Linked DNA regions of Oryzias latipes. The protein of the gene in region 2 purifies or fractionates together with the protein of the main gene of each other region. This does not show direct contact. Links are inferred from orthologs where the notes say so. Each region holds a gene or a part of one and is shown on either strand. Other genes may lie near its edges. The genes, in order: cytochrome b5 and bcap31.

What was found.
Region 1: the proteins of bcap31 (region 2) and cytochrome b5 purify together in Homo sapiens (co-immunoprecipitation; 4 studies listed by BioGRID and IntAct, with this or other methods). This does not show direct contact. The link is inferred for Oryzias latipes from reciprocal best matches to the Homo sapiens genes BCAP31 and CYB5A.

The regions. Positions count from the first base shown.
Region 1 is NC_019878.2:4,145,998-4,150,267, forward strand, and holds the start of cytochrome b5, read right to left. Parts: upstream 3,084-4,270; 5' UTR 2,894-3,083; coding exon 2,756-2,893; intron 1-2,755.
Region 2 is NC_019865.2:31,915,001-31,919,589, forward strand, and holds the start of bcap31 (B-cell receptor-associated protein 31), read right to left. Parts: upstream 2,899-4,589; 5' UTR 2,768-2,898; intron 1,327-2,767; 5' UTR 1,319-1,326; coding exon 1,227-1,318; intron 1-1,226. UniProt on the Homo sapiens protein: Functions as a chaperone protein. Is one of the most abundant endoplasmic reticulum (ER) proteins.

The DNA.
Region 1 (4,270 bases), on a different chromosome or scaffold from region 2:
TAAGTTTTTGTAAAAATAAAAAAATAAAAAGGTTCAGTGTAAGAAAGAGTCAACAAGCAGCAACTGAAACTCAAACACGTTCATTGAAATGGATGATGGGAGTTTTTTAATTGTGACTAAAGTTTAAAAAAACACTTTAATTGTAAATTTGACCCAAATCAAGTATGTTGAGTTAAAATGTGCGTTTTTTTCTTGACATGTCACTTTGCTGGTGCCAGCTCATCTGCTCTTTGGTTTGACTTTCATCTCATTGGTTAAAGTATCTGATGTAGTTTGTTGGATCAGTTCAGAAGATTGTTTCAACAGCAAAGGCGCGTCTCTTTTCTAGATGGTCGATGATCTTTGCACAGAAACTGATGGAAACTCATGCTGGCCACACGTAATCTGTGACGTCAAAATGCACATCGCCACAGTTCCCACATGTATTTCAACCCTAACCGTTACCCCGCCCGAATTACATGTGAATGGTCACTTCCTGTCTTGATACAGAGGCTCAGAGTGGATCAGAAAGACTTTTCTGCTGTTTCCAATCCAAACCAATAAAGATTCTAGCAATGAAGCAAAAGCTCCTCAACTGCCATCAGATTAACAGTTTCCTTGACTGCAGAACGGATGATGAGCTCCTCCTGACAGAGTGACGCACCAGGTTGAAGCAGCTGAAGGCTCCGATCATGAAAACGGAAAAGCAGGAAAACGTTCGGCAGCAGGAAAACGTTCGGCAGCAGAAAAACGTTCACTAGCAGGAAAACGTTCGGCAGCAGGAAAACGTTCGGTAGCAGGAAAACGTTCGGCAGCAGGAAAACATCGGCTTGGGTTGTAGGTTTTAGCTCCCACTGTCTTTAAATGCTGAAAGATGATCTCCCTTCATCCGCCTTCACACTAACAACAAAGACCACAACCTGTCTGGAGAAAACTAAACAGCCAAAAGAGGGCGCTATTGTCTGAAATGAGCTCTGTGGTAATTCTGGTTGTGCTTCCTGAGGTTGAAGGGATGTTGAGAGATCCACGGGGCTCTGTAAAAAATGTTTAAGTGTTTTAGTGAATACGCTAACATGTAGCGGTGTCAGACTGTTTTTTACGTGTTGCTAACAATTTTTGGTTAGCATAGTGACAGTAATGTTTAACACTGTGCTTTTAAATGTGTCGTAAACAAGGTTGGGAGTTCCAGGACTGGTGAATAATCCAACATGGCTAACGTTTTGTGTGTTACAAAGAACAGTGGAAGACGATACATCACTCCCGGTCTTTGGTCTGTCCGCGTTCACACTGGACTGGACCGCACCAGAGTTCACCTGCATGTAAACAGAGACCCTTGTTCTGAAGAGGAGCAGAGTTCTCTTGTTTGGTCCAAAATGTAGTTGAAGGTTCTCAGCTTATAAATCAAAGCCTCGTTTCTACTGAGCGGTCCGGTCCGGTCCGGTCCCGTTTAGAATGGTCTGGGCAATTCAGGTGAGCGTTTCCACTCAAAGTTGGACTATTACGGCGTGTGCGGGATGAAGCTAACAACAATAGAGGTTACCCAGCAGATTCATTTTGGCTTTTGTTTCTTCATAGATACAACGCATTTAAGGCTGTTTGAGAGAAGACTGCGATGGCGAAGAGGAATTCAGCCGCTCTCTTTTGTTCAGCCAATCAACAGGTTTCAACAGTAGCCCCACCCTAAACTGGTCCACTCCATTGTTCTATTGACCTGCAACAAACCAAAATGGCACGGTTCGGTCTGACTTAATGGGTCTATTTTATAACGGAAACACTTCAAATACCAGACTGGACCGGACTGGGCTGCTCAGTGGAAACAAGGCTCAAGAGGTCCACCCAAGGACACGGCTCAAGTGTGGATCAATTCTAGGAATTTTCCGCAGCTAGATTTGTGTTGTGTTTTTTTTGTAGTCCAACATTGTGTAGACATATTTGGAATAGCATCATCTCCATTTCTCACTGGGCTACTGGAGGGGTTGAATCTCTCTGACCCCCCCTGTCCTAGCACCCATAATGTTTGCAGATGGAGTCACGGAGAAGGGTGGAGGAGAAGAAGTCGGCTCCACCCTGAACCTGCTGGTGAGCGCACCTTGATAGAGTCAAATACCTGATTACTTAGAGGTGCTTGAGTTTCTGCCAATCGACTTGTGGAGCTGCTGGACGTTAAGAATAAACTTTATCAAACTAATAAGCTGTCAGAACCTTTTCTTTTTTTTAATGAAACCTCATTTATCCATATAATGAATTTGAATCAAACTGGTGTTTACAAAGATGTGTGCAGTCTAAGGACTGTCAACAAGAAACAGTTATCTTCCTAAATGCTGTAGACGATCATTTGTCTAAACAAAGATCTGCAGGCTGAATCCTCACTGACTTCCCTATAGCGGCAGTTTAGCTCAGGCACTAGAGCAGGTCACCCAACAACCAAAGGGTTGGCGGTTTGATCCCCGCTCTCTCTCCCGAGCGCGGCTAGTCTGCAGCTGACTGCTCGCCCACGGGATGGGTCAAATGCGGAGAGAAATTTCCTCATTGTGGGATAAATAGAGTAAAAATTATGTTTTATTTATTTTATAAGAGTAACCATGAACCTGAAGGGGGGCCAAGCCCCCACATCCTCTTAGGGAGCAGAGACGCACCTGCTCAGATAAAAAGTAGATAATTCCACAATAAAAGCATCTGAATGTCCATAAAGACTATTGTTAGGAAAGCGCCCATCAGTCAGGAGACCTCCGCCCCCCACCTGACGAGCCGTGAGCGCGCGCGCACAGCTCCTCACCTCATCCAGAAACTTGGTCACATCGTAGACTTTATGGTGAATGATTATCCACGTAGACTTGAAGGAGTTTTGCGCTTCGATCTCTGACAGCCGGTAGTATTTCACTCCTTCCGGGCTCCTCTCCTCCGTTTCCGCCATTGAGGCGCCGGACGGTCGGTCGGGCTTTGGCACGCGAAGAGCAGCGGGGCGCAGACTGCGGCGGCGCGCGGACTGACGGCCGGAGCTTATGTAATGCTGGAAAGAGTGGCCGCGCCGTGACTCCGCATAAACACGCCGACATTTACCCCAGAAAGAGTCACCAACAACTTTCAGAGTTCACCCAAGCCGGAAGCTGCGGGACTTCAGAACGCTACCTTCAGAATAAAGGTCATGCAGCATTGACCAAGAAATCCAGTTGTACTTGTGTTTATATCTCCTCGTCATTTTAGCAGAAACACGTTTAAACCCCGAAATGTACAATTTGCATCTAAGTTAGTGTATTCAGGTACTCTGCAGTTTATTTATAGTCCTGCTTATAGTATGAAGGCTCTGATCCTGCTTCATCAGCAAAGTTCTCCTGGTCAGTCTTGCTGCTCACTTTGTCCGAAACAATCCAGCCTGACTTGACGGTTTAGCAGTCAAACATCAAATCCACACAATAGGAAATTCTAGTAAACTGTTTTGCTCAACTGCCCCCTTAAATGTTCCACTTAAAAGTCTTCATGCACCAAACCAAATTATAACAGCTGCCATATTTTCAGCTCATGGGCAATGAGGCACGTGGGAAATTTGGAGATGACAAACAAATTCTGAACAGAGCAAAAATAATAATAAAAAAGTAAAAATATATTTTTACTGCATTTTTTTTTGTATTTGAGAAAATATCTTCACAAAAACAAAAAACAACAACAACTAACTGTCATGGTAAAAAAGAGACTTTGGTCATGGTAAAAGGTTTTTAACAGTTTAAATGAACAACTAATACTACAGAAATAGTTAACTTACCTCTGGTTGAAAAAAACTCAACTAACAGGTTCACAGATGTCAAGTTATTATGTCACAAAGAACGCTTATGATGATATAAAAATAAAGCATTAGGTACTGCAGACGTATTATAGTTTTAATTATTTTATTTGTTGCATCTATTTTATTTACAGGTCAATGCAGTCCCATTGTTTATCTGCTTTCGGTAACTATTTTTAATGAAAACGTGTTTTTGTGAGTTCGTAATGTTATTGTTTTATTTTGAAGGACAATCTTGTGACTTCCGGTAAAAATCATTCATGCTTTCGGATGCTTTACGGACTTTCGTTAAAGCCCCCGCGTCCACACCTTCCAGAATTCCGCTGTTCCATTGGTCGTCCTTCCCCAGCAGCCCGTATGGCGACTGTGATTGGTCCGTTCAGGTTGCCAATCTCTAATGAGCTGCTGGGGCAGCTCGCGGGCGAGGACCAGGCAAAAGGTCACGGACTGTTTAGCATTAAATCATTTATGGCAATCTTACACTCACGCACACACTGTCATCTCTCACGTAAT
Region 2 (4,589 bases):
TGTCTGCATCTTTGTTGTACATCACTGCATCACTGTGCTCCTGAAGGGTTGATGCATTTTGGTTGCGTTGAGCCTTCTTGCCTTTAACATTTTGAACTGTTGGTGCCGTTTAAAGGATTGTGTTGAAATCCCATTAGATGCGCACAAACAAACAAAGTTCTTTCTAAATATTGTTTTATTTGTGTTATTCTTCACTTGTTTATGTTGTGAACCCAGACACAACGACGAGCCTGCATTAGGTTTTTTTAAATAAACATAAACCAGGGCCACTCTCCTGACAGGATGGGAATCCATATCCACCATTGCAAGGACACTAGCAAGGAACCAGACCGTTTCCATTTCATGCCCAAACTCGAGATTCACGCCGCTTCAACATTTTGCACCTAGCCTCATGTCGGTGGCGGACATGCGCTAGAAAACAGAAAAAGAGGAGGAAGCCCCTCCCTGCTTGTCAAGTGGGAACACCGAAATGCATACAGCATGTTCTTGAACACGCGTCAGAAGCCCAGTGTGTCTGTAGCTTCCGGCTTAATGAAACCCCACAGAGAGAGAATGTGGCCTGCAGGGGAAGAGGTCCACAGGGGATGGGTTCAAAGACAAACGCGAGGACAGAAACCCAGTAAGCAGCTCAACCCGCCTGAACTTTCCAGCCACCTTCATGGTTCTGTGTCACGTTTCTGTTTTGATGCTGAGCTTGGTTATCGTTATGATGTCTGCCACGACTGAAAACATCAGCTGGTCATGCCTGCAGAATCCAGGCAGGAAATTTTGTGTTTGCAGCTGCTGACAGTCTGCAGATGTCGTTGAGATGTAAAAAAAAAGGTTTGACTGACTTGGCTCTGCTGAATCATTTCAAAACTAAGGAGCTTCAAAAGTTGTTCGTAAGAATCATGACATCCACCCATTCAGATGCATACACAGGAACTCTATGATTAGATCAGCCTCCAACGCTGCCATGGGCCTTTGGACAGGTTTTTCTACATTTGGGTAACACAAAGTGCATTTGGAAAGACTTACCGGTAAACTGCATTTAGAAAACTCCTAAATGTAGTTTTACCCATTTGTTCATCTGAAGAGGTAATCATCACAGGCCATGTTAAGCAGAGCTCATTGTGACAAATATCTGAACAAGGATTAGCCGAAGACAAGATCGTGGCATAAATCATAAAGATCGTGGAATAAATCATAAAGTCCAGGTGAGGTGTTCAGTCCTGGTGAGCACTCACCTCTTTGGGGAGATGAAGGGGATACAGAGCAGAAGAACGAGGAAGACTTCCACATAAAGGAAGGTGGCCACCGCTGTCCACTGGAGGCTCATCCTGACTCCTGAGAAGAAGACAAGTGAGAGCGAGTGCTTTATCGAGTCCATGTTAAACACAAGTTCAAGAACGGAATACTCAACAGAGCAACAGCACACATTCAGAGCAGGAGGCATCTTGACTTTCTATGCACATCCAGACTAAAACTAAACTAAACTAAAACAACGGAAAACAAGAAGCATTTCTGTTCAATTTGAGCCTGATTCTGAAATCCATGTTTCACAATCAGCTTTCCTCCAGATGATGATTTCATCAGATTAGTCATCTGTTTTACACACACCAGAAGCTCACAGCTATATGCTTTATGGTGTTATCCATACTTGCCCTCCAGCATCTCCAGCTCTACATTCTAATCTCAGCATAACTACACTTTAGTCTTGATGAGCTGATATCTATGGTCTAAACTCCACTCAGAGGTCCCATTGACTCAGAGCAGTTATGTTTTCTCTTATCTCCTGACTCCCTTCTGCTCATCCTGATGTTTCCTCTATGAGCAGAAACATTTAGCTCAGATCTATAGGAGGAGAGACAGAGGAGCGACTCACCAAGATAAACAGCATACAGTGGTCGATGTGGAGACCAAAGCCTGAACTACAACAAAAATACACTGGACCTCACCACAGACCTGACCAGGCTGTCAAAATAAACTCCTTTCCTGTGGCAGCTCCACGGCCTGTGTGTTAGCATCAGGGAGGAGAAAGTTCCTGGAGTGTTCCACACCAACAGAACCTCACAGGAGTCCAGCTGGACAGAGACTGATCAGAAACTCGGCGTATTTTTGAGGAAACTCTTCTGAGATGGGGAGCCAGTTGGGGGGCTCTGGTGCTGAGGGGCGTGGCAGCTTCAGACAGCTGTGTCACGATGCAGCGATCAGTCGTGATTAAGACCAGCGCCTGACAGCAATCAGCCGATCTGAACCGGCGTCACTCAGCTGTGTCCTCTGACTTAGATTACTCTGTTAAGATTCATCTTGATCATCATTCGCTGTAAATTAAAATAGATGGTTTCTGCAAACCCCTAAAAGTCTGACTGAGGCCAATGACTGAAGACAATATTTTATTAAGTAGCGGTAGCCAACTTGTTAGCTGTTCTTTATTACACCGCAAAAATGCGCGTTAAACACAAGACGATTAGGGACCGTGTATTTGCTGGAATGCGTCTAACTTAATTTGATTTCTATATTTTAGTACATAAACTGGTTAACTGACCTTTATTTTTCGTTTAACCAAATTGGAAACCGTGGCTTTCTTTGAGATTAGAATGTTTCTTGTTTTTAAAAGACACTGACGCCGTCCACTCTCGGCAGAAGCCGTTTTATTGTCAAATCATAAGCGATGTTTTGAAATGCAGTCGGGCGGGCAGCTGCTAGCATGCTAGCCGCTGACGACAATGGTATGACTCCGCATTTTACCGAACAAGGTTGCCATCAGAAGGCTGACTAGACTTACCTCAAGTACACAGACCAAGAGAAAAATGCCTTCCTGCCCAAAGAGACGTAAAAAAGCTTGTAAATGCTGCTCTGCTAGCCTGTTGTGACAACTTCCGGTCCACTTCCGGCTCTTTAATGCCAGCTCATCGTCTAACGTGATTGGATGATTCAAATGTAGTAGGAGGAACTGCACTCTACAGTTGACGTGAGGACATTGACAATAAAATATAATAAATATATAGTCATATGTGATGGAGTCAATGCGTCAGATTTAATAAAAGTAATTAATACAATTATTTTGTTTAATGGTATTGTAGCGACCTGGGGGTCAGTCCCGCCTTCAGCCCCTAAGGCTCATGGGAAGTGGGGAGCTTAGGGTGAAACATTGAGTCAGAGGGCTGGAAGCTGAAGTGACCCTCCATGCTGTTTGGGCTGTATGTGTGCTGGAATAAACAGGCTTGTTGCTTAAAAGCTAATATTGCCTCTCTCTACGTTTCTTGCAACCTGAGACTGTCCGGGGTCGTGCGGTGTATGGGGCACGGACAGCTCTCCATTAAAACCTCTTCATGAGCAGTTGGCTTTCGCTACCCCACTAAAGTGACGGTCCGGCCGGATCGTTACAATGGTGTCAGAAGAGGGATTGCTTAGCCGCTGCTACAACATGGAGAGCATCTCCATGGAGGGTGAGACGGAGCAGCTGTTCCTGGTGGCAGTCTGGGACAAGGGAGGAGTAAGGGCGATGACACCACCCTGATGGATCGAGCACCCACCGTCATCCGCAGCCTGGCCCTGCCCGGCACCAACGTTAGAACATCCGGACCAGACTGTGATGACGGTGCGCAGCCCAGCTGAACCTTCACAACACAATTAGCAAAACACAGGAACACACTGGCTGGAGACTCCTTCGCACAATCCTGGGTTTCGACCGCCACCGTGTACAGTCCTCCTCTTAACTGGCTGGGTTAGCACATCTGCAACTGACACAGTTCCATGCCAGTATGTGCCCAGCCAGGAGAACCAGTCCCCGCCTCCGTGGAAGCACCACCATCAGGGTGCACGTCACCATGGGGGAGTAGACTCTCTCCAAGTGAAGAGCTGCACACCAGCAGCAGAAGGTCCCCAGGCATCCCAGGCGATCGTCGTCGTCACTACGGCGGCGAGACTCCAGCTGCTGTAGGGTCTGCTTCTTCAAACCCTCCTCCCCAAAGCGAAGCTCTGCTGTCCGCGCTGACAGGTCTCGCAGCTCCGCAGGTGGGAGGTCCAGCAGTGTAGGGCCCTCTAACGCCAGGTCTGAGTGTGTGAGAAGTCCCTTTCGGTGTCTAGCCCTCATTGCCGGTCGCCAGGTTGACCTGAGCCAGGTGTGGTTCCAGTGTTGTTTTGCTAATTGTGTTGTTCAGTTCTGCAGTTATGTGAGGGTTGTGGGGACACTAACCCTCTTAGGTGGGGGCAGTGTAGCGACCTGGGGGTCAGTCCCGCCTTCAGCCCCTAAGGCTCATGGGAAGTGGGGAGCTTAGGGTGAAACATTGAGTCAGAGGGCTGGAAGCTGAAGTGACCCTCCATGCTGTTTGGGCTGTATGTGTGCTGGAATAAACAGGCTTGTTGCTTAAAAGCTAATATTGCCTCTCTCTACGTTTCTTGCAACCTGAGACTGTCCGGGGTCGTGCGGTGTATGGGGCACGGACAGCTCTCCATTAAAACCTCTTCATGAGCAGTTGGCTTTCGCTACCCCACTAAAGTGACGGTCCGGCCGGATCGTTGCAGTATGTCTAAAGTAATGTTTCCATTTATTTTTAAATTTCATGTATCCACCTGCTGCCTGGAACAAACAAATACCGATTAGG